Linked DNA regions of Rattus norvegicus. Each later gene encodes a partner of the first gene's protein in a complex. Links are inferred from orthologs where the notes say so. Each region holds a gene or a part of one and is shown in the gene's direction. Other genes may lie near its edges.

What was found.
Region 2: the proteins of Ap1g1 (region 1) and Ap1s1 are in contact, whole or in part, in a crystal structure (PDB 1W63), measured with the Mus musculus proteins. The link is inferred for Rattus norvegicus from reciprocal best matches to the Homo sapiens genes AP1G1 and AP1S1. Residues at the interface, in NP_001288140.1 of Mus musculus: Leu7, Arg8, Ile11, Arg12, Arg15, Leu54, Tyr55, His57, Met58, Gly60, Tyr61, Lys78, Phe79, Thr80, Arg83, Ile84, Leu87, Met90, Leu91, Asp94, Glu95, Thr115, Phe117, Leu123, Cys124, Gly127, Cys128, Tyr152, Lys155, Lys156; in NP_031483.1 of Mus musculus: Met1, Leu14, Arg15, Leu16, Gln17, Lys18, Trp19, Leu21, Ala22, Thr23, Asp25, Arg28, Lys29, Arg42, Lys45, Met46, Cys47, Ser48, Phe49, Glu51, Lys56, Gln74, Asp75, Asn76, Glu77, Leu78, Ile79, Leu81, Glu82, Leu83.
Region 3: the proteins of Ap1g1 (region 1) and Ap1m1 are in contact, whole or in part, in a cryo-EM structure (PDB 7R4H), measured with the Mus musculus proteins. The link is inferred for Rattus norvegicus from reciprocal best matches to the Homo sapiens genes AP1G1 and AP1M1. Residues at the interface, in NP_001288140.1 of Mus musculus: Arg24, Glu25, Gln28, Lys29, Ala32, Arg35, Ser36, Arg39, Glu40, His64, Phe65, Gln67, Leu68, Gln97, Val99; in NP_031482.1 of Mus musculus: Ser289, Asn318, Asp319, Ala320, Asp321, Ser322, Trp334, Pro336, Glu337, Asn338, Ser339, Gly361, Leu362, Pro363, Ser364, Val365, Glu366, Ala367, Glu368.

The regions. Positions count from the first base shown.
Region 1 is NC_086037.1:54,734,086-54,737,723, forward strand, and holds part of Ap1g1 (AP-1 complex subunit gamma-1), read left to right. Parts: intron 1-1,111; exon of another isoform or gene 1,112-1,197; coding exon 1,198-1,296; exon of another isoform or gene 1,297-2,374; intron 2,375-2,436; coding exon 2,437-2,538; 3' UTR 2,539-3,638. UniProt on the Homo sapiens protein: Subunit of clathrin-associated adaptor protein complex 1 that plays a role in protein sorting in the late-Golgi/trans-Golgi network (TGN) and/or endosomes.
Region 2 is NC_086030.1:25,260,539-25,264,844, forward strand, and holds the start of Ap1s1 (adaptor-related protein complex 1, sigma 1 subunit), read left to right. Parts: upstream 1-1,497; 5' UTR 1,498-1,573; coding exon 1,574-1,576; intron 1,577-4,306. UniProt on the Homo sapiens protein: Subunit of clathrin-associated adaptor protein complex 1 that plays a role in protein sorting in the late-Golgi/trans-Golgi network (TGN) and/or endosomes.
Region 3 is NC_086034.1:17,626,352-17,629,996, reverse strand, and holds part of Ap1m1 (AP-1 complex subunit mu-1), read left to right. Parts: intron 1-956; coding exon 957-1,024; intron 1,025-1,959; coding exon 1,960-2,090; intron 2,091-2,811; coding exon 2,812-2,959; intron 2,960-3,645. UniProt on the Homo sapiens protein: Subunit of clathrin-associated adaptor protein complex 1 that plays a role in protein sorting in the trans-Golgi network (TGN) and endosomes.

The DNA.
Region 1 (3,638 bases):
CTACATTTTGTTAGTGTATCTTGAGCTTCAAAATGCTACATTTCATAGATTTACCACATAGCTTTCATTTTTTTAGTGTCTCTGAAATTGATGTGCAGTTTGAGCTCAATACCATAAAGCTGAGGATTTAGCTCAGTGATAAAGGCCTAAGTTTGATCATCTCCTTCCCCATAGAAAAATAAACTTGATGTCTAATCATAGTTTAATGGGAAACTTTTTCTTTTTCAGTGCTATATAAAATAAATATTTGCATCATAGTTGATAGTATCTTAAATGTAATGAAATATATTAGTAATGACATTTTACCTTACATAATTCATTTTGAGAATAGAATTATGAATGAGACCCCAAGATAATAAGCTTGTGCTTTCAGTTTGACTCTTCCTTTTCTAATATATGAGCTTATAAAGGGCTCCTCTGTCAGTCAGGAAAGGCTTTGTACAGTGTGGTTTACCTGGCTTGCCTAAAGCACTTTATTGTTTCACCTCTGTAAACAGGTAAAAGCCTATCCACACTGAACAAACTAAGACATTTGACTTGTCTTGACCTTTTGTTGTTTGGGCTGGTTCTGCATGTACTTTTTCTTTAGGGCCTTGTGTCTCTGGTGGAACCATCCTGAATGTTCCACTTACATATTTACAGCTGGCTTTTCAAGCCATTCCTTCCCTTTTCTTGTAGGGGCAGACCTTGACAGACCTTGGCATACTGCACGTTAATTGTTCAGGCTTTAGGAAAGAAAGGTCTAATCCCGAGGCCTAGTCTTGAGGTTCCATAGTCACATAAAGGTCTGTAGTCCGTGGCTAGTGTGTTGGTTTATGAGGTTTGGAAAGCTTTTCTGTCAGGTTCTTTTTGGCTTTGTTTCAGGCCATAGGCCTCCAATCTTTACTTGCACAGTTGATCAGTCACTACTAATCAGGGTTTCTAGAACAAGGAGTGTTGCCTTTTGAGAAGTGATAGTCTAGAGCTCCTTTAGCTAGAGACAGGAAAGTAGCTCCACTATGTTTCCACAACCAGAGACTTGAGTTGAATGAGTGACTTTCTGCTTACATATCATGGATGGAGTCTGGAAAATAAGCACTGTCAAAGCATAGGGAACCTGTCTCTGACCCACCTGCTGGCCGGCTAACTGCTTACTTGCTGGCTTCTTTGACCCAACACTGCTATTTGTTCTCATGCGTGTCCTTTGTTCCTCTGTAGACATTCCAGCTGCAGCTTCTGTCTCCTAGCAGCAGCGTCGTCCCAGCCTTTAATACAGGGACCATCACACAAGTCATTAAAGTTCTGAACCCACAGAAGGTAAGTAGTACATTTAAACAGATCTGTATAAGGTTCAAGTAAGCTCAGTTTTCTTTCTGACTCAGATCTAGGAAAATGCCTGGTCTAACTTCCTTGTTCTTTTGTAGAGATAAACCAAGCCCAGGGACATCAAAAAGATTAGTGACATTAAAATGCAACTAAAAATTCTCTATTGTGAGGATTAAAGGTATTGTTTTGAGGATTTAGCAAAAGTTTAAATCAGAGGTTGAATCAAAAATCTATATTTACTGTTACAATTAGTATGGTTATTAAAACTGGAAGCATTTTAAGTGAAATAGTTAAATGAAAAATAGCAGTAGAAACCAGTTTAGCCAGAGTTTCACTATAGAAGAAACTATAGAAGTTTCATCTTCTCAATGAAATCAACTGTTTTTCCCTTATAACTATCTGATTTTCAGTTTTTGCTTTTCAAGTTCTCTGCCTTTTCTCAGTTCTTTTTTTTTTGTATCTCAATCATGTTATTACTATAAACACAGCACACATTATTTTCATCATCTGATACCTGCAACAAAACTTTTTTTAATGTACTGATATTTGATATTTGCTACAGAAAGTACAATACACTTAAAACCATTCCTGTTACCTGTGTACCCAGGTTTTTCTTTTATGCTTTGGAAAAACAAACATTGGTGATGTTTACTGTGGGCTGCATAAACCAACCAACAGGTGACCCATATGTATAACATGTGACATGTGTCTCCCTCATTTTCTAGAGACTTGGACAAAGAGTTAAATTTTTGTCGTTCCCCCCCTCCCCAATTGTATTCTAGGTGTGCGTGTTCTCTGCTTGATGGCCTTGATGTTGATTCGTAGGCTTCAGTCAGCAGCGATAGATGTTTTGGCACAGGCTGTCTGTCTGTCTGTGTGCCACTTGAGATAGCGTTACCTGGGTGTACTTTACCTACCTTTAGGATAAATACATCTGTGGAGTGGCATGGCAGCACGTGCCTGGGGTCCTCAGTACTTGGGAGGCTGAATCAGCATCACTTGAGCTGAAGGGTTTGGGGCTAGCCTGGTCCACGTCGTGGAACCCTATTTCCAAGAAACAGTCTATAGACTGCCGAGACAGGGAGATTTAATTTCAGTGAATTAATTCATGGTTCTCTTTCCCTTCTATAGCAACAGCTGCGAATGCGGATCAAGCTCACATACAATCACAAGGGCTCAGCAATGCAGGATCTCGCAGAAGTGAACAATTTCCCCCCTCAGTCCTGGCAGTGAGGGTGCAGCACCATTCTCATTCTATCCCACTCAATCAAAGGAATTCTGGGAAGGAGGTTGTGATTGCTGGCAAGTCCCCCACTGTAACCATGGGCACGAGGAGCTGAGAGAGCTGTTGAGGGTTCTCCTCACCTTACTGCTGACCTTGAAGCATCAGTAAAGACTAATGTCCTCTCCTCCGCTGTTGAGGCTGGCTGCTTCTCAAGGCTACTTTGCACTCCTCCTCTTCTCCCTTTTCTGCACTTCACCCCTCCCACATTTGCAGCCAGAATCAACATTTTCTGGGCCACTGAGGCAATCAGCAGCGGTCTGGAGGAGAGGACTGGAATTCACGGCAAGAAAACACTCACTCTGTCTCTGCAGCAAAGAGTGGCCCCTACTTTCTACTGTGGTGTCTCTGTGGACTGGGCAAGGTGGTTACCATCGTAAGGCGCTTTTATACCAGGCAGGCATTGGAATGGATTGTAACAATGGACATAAGGGAGCCCTGCCCTTTTCTGCTGGTTCTCCCAATGTTTGAAAGGTGTTAGGCTCCTGGCAGCCTTTTCTGTGCATTGCTGTATACACACAGACACACATGTATGTATGTTTGTTATATAAAAAAATCTGGTCAGACCTTGAGAGGTGGTTTGTAAACACTGGACAGATGCAGTTCAAGAGCTTTTGTTGAGATTTGGCATGAAGGATATGGTGCTCTATTTCTAATAGAAACTTCCAAGGCTCCCAGCTCCCCTTTCTCTCCATTCTTAGCTGTAGTCATGAGTTCTCTCTCCATGATTTTCAAGATCAGTTCCCATTAAATTGCAAAGTGGACACTTTCTAAAAAACATATGAATAGTTATTAATGATCCTATTCCCCCCACAGTGTTTCTCCCAAGCCTGTCACTTGCCTGTTTGAGCTGTGGTAAATGGGTCAAAAGAGGAGTTCAGTCCTAAGGAGCAGACCCTGTCACAAACACCATGGCCCATAGGAAGAGCAGTACCAGACTCAATCTGGAGCATACTGGAATCAGCTTTATCCATTGCTCCAATCCTCCCTTTAATTTCCTAAGCCTGGCTTGGACCTTGGCATTCCGTTTGAATTCCTTCTTCTAACTGGA
Region 2 (4,306 bases), on another chromosome or scaffold:
TTGTTTGCCCATGCACCTTTTTTTTTTTTTTTTTTTTTTTTTTTTTGGACATAGTGTCTCAGTCCAGACTATGAACTACCTACATAGTCGATGGTAATTTTGAACTCTTTTTTTTTTTTTTTTTTGTTCTTTTTTTTCGGAGCTGGGGACCGAACCCAGGGCCTTGCGCTTCCTAGGTAAGCGCTCTACCACTGAGCTAAATCCCCAGCCCCAATTTTGAACTCTTGATCCTAATATGTCTGCCTCTACCTTCCAAATCCCCACATTATAGGTGTATACCGGCGCATTCCTGTTCTGTAGCCCTAAAGCTGGTCACCACCTCTTGCTCCTCCTGCCTCAGCCTCTGCAGAGCTGGGATTAGAGGTATGCCTCACCACACCCAGTTCTCAAAACCCACCCTCCATTTTGGTTTTGGCTTCTTGTTTGCTTGACAGAGCCTCACTGTGTAGTCTAGGCTGGCTGTGGCCTTCTGGCTATGGGTTTACACCACACCCCTTCAATACCTTAAGATTCTCCTCATTCCGTCCCCTTTCTCCTTAATTTACAATTTCCTCCTGCTCTTTATAGTGTCCCCCTTTTCAGCAATTTTTTTTTATCCCTGGTTTCTACATATTTTGTTTGCTTTAAGACAATGCAGCATCTCCAAGTTCTTAATGAATACTTAAGTGTTGTACTGTCTTAGTTTCTTTAAGGTTACATTTAGAAGTATATTTTGCATTGTCTGTGACCATGTGGGGATGTATGCAGGACCAGGGCACTTGCTTGTGCAGATATCAGAGGACAATTTGCAGGAGTCAGTTCATTCTTTCCACCTAGTGGGTTGGGGGGAAACATCTTTACTATCCGAGCCATCATATCTGCACTGTTTGGTGTCACTTTTTTTGTTGCAGACAGGTTCTCTTGTGGCCGTGGGCGGTCTCGACCATGCTATGTAGTTGAGGCTGAACTTGAACTGCTGTTGCTCCTGTCTCTGCCTTCCAAGTGTAGACATCACGTATGTGCTCCTGCCGTGTTTGTTTTGGAGACAGGATCTTGCTCTGGAACTCTGAGCTGTTCTTGAACTCTTTATTCTCCTGGCCTCCCGTCCTGTATTTCCCTCATCCTGCCCACCACCACCCTTTCTTTGACTGATGTTTCCCACACCATTCCTCCCAACTTCTTCGTAAACTCTAAAGATCCTTCATCCACCTCTCACCCTTTTCCCGCCTTTTTCCCCCCCACAAATGCTCCAAAGCTCGAGGCCCTCATTGTCCTCCACTCCCCTTCCCATCCTCCAATCAACCCACCAAGGCAGCCTTGTTACCATGACGACCGGGCTTTTGCAAAGCTGAAGTCAAGGACCTGGTTACCATGGTTTCCGCTTCTCCGCCTCCAGCCCCGCCCGCGCGCCGTATGAGATTGGGGGGGGTGTGCTGCAGCGTTGGCGCCTGCGCAGTGAGACCACGCCTGGAGCCGGCGCGGTCTAGGGGCGGGGCTTCAGGCGGAGAGGGAGGGAAAAGAAAAGAATCCGACTGGGAGTGGAGCTGGCTTCTACGGTGGCCGGAGAGGGACGCACCGGGCCGGAGGCTGCAGGATGGTAGGCTTTGAGGAGAGGGAGGGGACGGGGACCCGAGGGGCGTGGGCTGTACCTGCGAGGGTCCGGAGGGGGGCTGCCCTTTGTGGGAGTCGCCCTGTCTTCTCTGTGGTCCGCTAAGGATCCACTTCCCAGAGCTGCTAGGGAGAGCTGACCTCGGAAGCTGGAAATGGCACTAGGACAGGGGCGGGGAGGAGTCTTGGTTGGGAGAGAGGGGACTAGGGCTGAATGGTGGCGGGACTGTCCGGAGCCTGGAGAAGCGCTCGGGATTCTGGGTTCGGTCCTAGAGATCCTCCCAATCACCGCCGCAGGGAAGACACGAGGTTGGGGCTCCGGGGTCACTCGGGATGGTTGCAGGTTGCCGAATCCCCTTCCCATGAGGCCCACACTGGAGCAGGGCCCATGGAGAGCTCAGTGTGGGAGGGGACAGTTTCCGGGTCTCTGGAGTGAACCTCCTGTCTCGGTTCCTTGACAGAACTCGCTCGGAGTTCTAGCTCAAGTGGGCTCCAGGGTTTGCAGTCAGGGAAGACTCCCTGACTTTGGCAATCCCAGCTCTCCACCCTCTCCGGTGCATTTTCTTTTCCGGAACCCAGGCCTTCCGTCTTCCTGCTGTAGTTGTCACCTCCTTTTCTTAGCTGCACACGGCTCCCTCAGTTCTTCACCTTCCTTATCCCCCACCAACAACACTCCCTAGTTTCTGGGGTTTGTTTCTTTTAACTTAACCTGCTAAACTGGAAGTGTGGCACACACACAGATATCCCAACCCCGGCCATGTTCTCAGAGCTGTTTGCAGGGAATTGAGTTCAGGATATGGAATCCGGAACCTCTGCAACTGGGAAAAACAAAGAAAACAAAAACAACAACAACAAAAAAAAAACAAAAAACAAAAACTAGGTCCATGCGCGAAGCAATGAGGACTCTGCCTGCTATTTATTCCACAGACATTCCCTAGGAGAGCCCTCCTGGGTGACTGGGCCCTGTCTGAGGGACTGAGCAACCAGTCACCTGATGTCTGGGAAGAAAGGTCAGGCCTTATAGTGCACACCTGTAACCTGGCACTCAGGAGCTAGAACCAGGGGGATCAGAAAACCAAGGGTAGCCTTGGCTATCTGGTAATTGAGGTCAGCCTGTGCTACGTGAAACATTGTCTCCAAACAGAAACAGAGAAAAGAGGGCCAGAGAGATGGCTAGGTAGCTGATAACCTGAGGTCATTCTCAGGAACCCACTGGTGGGAGAAGTGAACTGACCTCCACATGTGGGTGGTGGAACCTGGGTGCCCCACATATATATGTAAAATAATATAAAATAACACTTTAAAAAACTGGGAAGAAAGAAAGCCAGTACTTGGAGCTAAATGTGTGGACAGCAAAGGAAAATGGAGGGCAAGATCTGAATATCCCTGTGCCTCGTGCAATCCAATGTATGTACAATTTACAGAGAAGAATGTCAACAAGCATGGGACTGGCACAAGAGGCCATATTGAGTCAGGAACATCTGAAGGCTTATTGCAGGATGGAGTAGCCACCCAACATCTGTGAGACATGGGGTCTAGAAGAACATACATAGAACTGCTGTCTGTTGACATCAGCTCATCAGGAGGCCAGGCATTTTCCCCATGGAAAACAAGGTTAGGAAACAGAAGTTCAGGGGAAAATAGCAGCGCCTAGCATGTTGCAGGTCCTACTGTGTGCCAGGCACCCTCATAAATGAACTCATTTAAGAATTCCTTAAGGGAAGAAGGGTGGAGAGAGAGATGGTTCAGCAATTAAGCACACTTACTGCTCTTCCAGAAGACCAAGGTTCAGTTTCCAGCACCCATGTCAGACAGCTCACAATTTTCTGTAACTCTGGACCCAGCAGATCTGACACCTCTGGTCTCTGTGGGCACTTGCACTCATGTGCACTAACCCGCTATGTAGACACATGCACACTCACACAGAGTTAGAAATAATAAAAAATGGGCTGGAGAGATGGCTCAGTCCTTAAGAGTATGTGTTGCTCTCACAAAGGACCCTCCCATCACCCACCATGGCGGCTCATAACCGTCTATAACTCCGTTTCTGGGGGATTCGACAGGTACGCGTGTGGTGCACATACACATGTGCACATAAATATCATACACATACCACAAATCTTTAATAACAATAAGTCCTAGAAGACCTCTATAAAAAAGTGTCATTTCCATCTTGTGGATAAGCAAACCGAGGTTCAAAGGCTGCTTGATACTACTGAAGGGCAGTCAGACAGCTCAGTGGGTAAAGGCACCTTCTGCCAAGCCTGAGTGTCAGAGTTTGATCCCTGGAGCTCACACAGTAGACACAGACAACCAGCTCCCCAAAGCCGTCCTCTTACCTATACACACACACAAGTAAGTGTGATAAAAATGCTTTTACGTTTATTTTATCATGTGTGTGGGTTTGTGCTCGCACAGCATGAATGTGGAGAGAAGACAGCTTGTGGGAGTTGGTTCTCTCCTGTAATGTGGGTCACAGGTATTGAGCTCAGGCCACCGGGCTTGGAACCAAGCACCTTAACTGATTTAGCCATCTTGCTGGCCCAGTGTAAAGTAGTTTGCCTGAGGCTGTACTCAAGCTAGTAGAGCCAGTATTTGAACCCAAATCACAGGCATAAAAATCTTTGACTTCCCCCCCAGGTACGACACTCCTTGTAGGGATAGCACCCAGTATTGACAGCTAGGACAGGAGTTTTGAAGGAGTTATCGATGTACAGCC
Region 3 (3,645 bases), on another chromosome or scaffold:
GCCACCATGTGGGTGCTGGGGATTGAACTTGGGTCTTCTGGAAGAGCAACCTATGCTCTTTACCACTGAGCCATCTCTGTAGCCCTCCACTTTTCCTTTCAATTATTCAAGCCTCAGCTGGGCTGTAAGGTAGGTAGAAGTGCCATTACACCTGGTCGTCTTCATGTTAGTGAAGTGACTGCTATCACTATTATCTCCATGGATGTCCACACATAACGCCTAGCTGGCTGAGACCTTGGTGGTGGCTTCCCCTGCTGCTCACTTGCATGAAATGCTTGTAGCTGTGCTGTGTTTGCACTGGTGAGAGAGAGTTTCTCATGTCTTTCTGATGTCGTACTAAATCTACAGATTGATTTTATGTATGTGTCCATTTGTTCAGGCCATAATTAGTGTTAGGAGAACACGCAAAACTGCAGACTGCGTCACAGCAGAGCCAGCAGCCTTAACAATTTTCTAACCTGTGTTGGCTTCCCTATGACCAGACTTTATATGGACCCAGTGGGCAGCTTCCAAGGATACCTGAAAGGAAATGGCCCATCCTTGGGTCTACTGTGGGCTCCCTATTTGGAGTGAATAGACATGTATAGCATTCTCCTCAGAAGGGCTTTGTCGGCTTCCTTCGATAGCTCAGTTGGTAGAGCAGAGGACTGTAGGGGCTTTGTCACCAACAGAAAGAAGAGAGGCCTGGCCCTGGCTGCTTCTCCACCTAGCTGGGCTCTCCTAGTCTTGCTCCTAAATGCAGCATCCAGAAGCTACCCCTTAAACCTTACACTTTCTGTCACCAAGGCTCCTCTGAATGCTTACCACATGTCCCTGGCCTGGCTCAGACTTGGGGCTTAGTCCTAATTTTGGGCTCAGTGGACCACTGGATTGTGGCTGGGGCAGGGAGCCGTGGGGATGGGCACCTGTGGTGTGGTATCCTGGCCTCAGAAGGCTCCTTGACTGCTACCCACCAGTGGTCGCCACTTCAAAAAAGAATGCTTGTGTGTCGCTAGTATTCTCCTTCCTCTACAAGGTGGTGCAGGTAAGGCCCCAGTGGTTTGACTTCCCAGCTGGGGAGGACTTTGGGGATTGTAGCTTTGTATACCCAGGGGTCCTGGTCCAGGAAGTCTCAGTTTCCTTGCAGGTGAGAGTCATGCCCACCCTGGAGGTAAAGAAAGCTAGCAAGATGGGAACCTGGCTGTGCAACCCTCCTGGCAGGAGGTGCATCATGTGATCCAGGCCCTGTGCCTGCGCAGTAGGGCCTGGGATCAGTTAGGTGCACAGGGCTGGACCTTGGGGCCATGGAGTGTGGTTTGATACTAATTAGTGCCTAGCTTTACCCAGGACACCTTTGGACTTAAGTAACCTCTGGCTGCTGAGTCAACCTGTTTGGTGCTAGTATTAAGCAAGGGCTCCAGGGCTAGTCTGTATTTCCACTAAGTGCCTCTGGAGGTCAGGAACCCCTTTCCTGTCTTTCCCCCTCCCTCTTGGGTGGGCGCCTCTTAGACAAGGGTAGAAGATGGAGAGCCTCCATTATCTTTTGGGGAGAGCCTCCAGGTGGTTTCCTTCTGAGCAGGTCCACTCTGAACAGCCTGGCTTAGCCACCTCTGATTGGTGGAATATGACTGGGGTGCTGGAGCACATTTCCCAGAGCCGGCCTTTCCCACTTGTAAGGACCTGTGCGCTTCTGTGCTAGTGTAAAGACCAGGTCCCTTCATTAGCCCCCTAGCTACCTATTGAAATGGAGGTGCTTGTCTACAGCCAGACAGCAACACCCTATGTGGATAGGCAGCAGTCTTGAGGCCGAGGCAGGGATCACAGGCACAGCTGGGATTGATACAGAGGCCTGGACAGCCAAAGTGCTGGTACAGGGCCCCGCCTGGCCAATGCCTGTGGTCTGTAGTTCAGATTTTGGTTTCTGGCCTGTGCAATCACTCTGGGTCTGGGCTGAGTCCTGCTCCGCTGCCCCTGGCCCAGGTGTTCTCTGAGTACTTTAAGGAGCTGGAGGAGGAGAGCATCCGAGACAACTTTGTTATCATTTATGAGCTTCTGGATGAGCTCATGGACTTCGGCTACCCGCAGACCACCGACAGCAAGATCCTGCAGGAGTGAGTACACGTGTCCCCTGCCTACCCCCACTCCCAGCGGCTTAGTTGCCAGCCCAACAGAGCAATCAGCTTGCTCCTTCTGCACCAACTGTTTTTTAGTTATTTTGAGATAGGGTCCTGATCCTCCTATGTCTGCCTCTGGAGCGCTGGGCTGACAGGAATGGGCCATGTGTCCTGTGTACTGGGTTCTGGACATGGAGTTCCTAATTTTGTGTGTGGTGCAGGGATTCAGCCCTGCAGATGCTTTCTGCTGAGTGCCTCTTGGGTCAGGACCCTTTCCTATACATATACCCCATGTCTCCACCCACACAAATATGGTACCTTAATCGGAGCCCTGCCTTTGCTGACTGTACTGAACTGAGGCAGGCTTTTGGAATCCCCACCTGCAGAGGCAGAAACCAGCAGGCCCCATTCTGCACTTCCACCGCTCCGTGCGGCCTGGGGTGCCAGCTCGCCACTTACCTGGGAGTCTGGGGAGAGCTGCTGCTCTGCTGTCCTGGTGGCAGAGGGCTCAGTCCCTCCAGGAGCCCACAGTGCTGACCACTTAATCCTATTCCCCACCGCACACCAGTGCCTTGCCTCAGAAATGAAGTGTATTTGGCCCACTCACTATAGCATGCATACCGTACCCTCCCCGACCAGTTGATGTGGGGCTTCAAGCTCTGTCCTGATCTCGGTGGAACGTTGTGTGTCACTACTGTAACTAAGCGACTCCCCACAGGTACATCACTCAGGAAGGCCACAAGCTGGAAACAGGAGCCCCTCGGCCCCCAGCCACCGTCACCAATGCTGTGTCCTGGCGCTCAGAAGGTATCAAGTATCGGAAGAACGAAGTATTCCTGGACGTCATTGAGGCCGTTAACCTCTTGGTAGGCTGCCTTTCTCTTCCTTTCCCAACCTGCCATCTTTTCCAGGGCGGAAGTCAGGGATAAGACTGAAACCCAGCAGAGTGTGTAGCCTGAGCCCTGGCAGCAGATGGCAGGACTCAGTGTCAGAGACTGCTCTCTGTACCAGCCTCCCTTTCAGAATCTGTAGGTACAGCATTGTGGTGTCTCTCAGGAGACTGAGGTAGGGAAACCTTAAGTTCCAGACCCTCCAGGGTCACATTGTCTCAGAAAAAACAAAAGAGAAGGGGCAGCAAGAGAGATGGCCCAGCAGTTAAAAAAGGGATTCCCACAAGCCTGACCTTCTGGGTTTCAGTCTAGTGGAAGAGAACTGACTCCTGCATTCTGCCCTGTGAGAGTTCACATGTGTGTATACACGAAGACACACACACACACACACACACACACACACACACACACACACACACAGTAAAATATAACTACAGTTTAATTTAAAGAATACAGGGCTCAGGGGATTGCTTAGTGAGCCAAGTTGCTACACCTCAAGCCTCATGACCTGTGCTCCATCCCCAGAGCCCTCATCACCACAGACTTGTCCTCTAATCTCCACACAGAGGCAGCGACACCCGATACACATACACCCCGACTTACAGACATAAGCAGAGCACTCATGCACAAGCTGGAGGACCCAAGTTGTGTGGAAGCTGGGG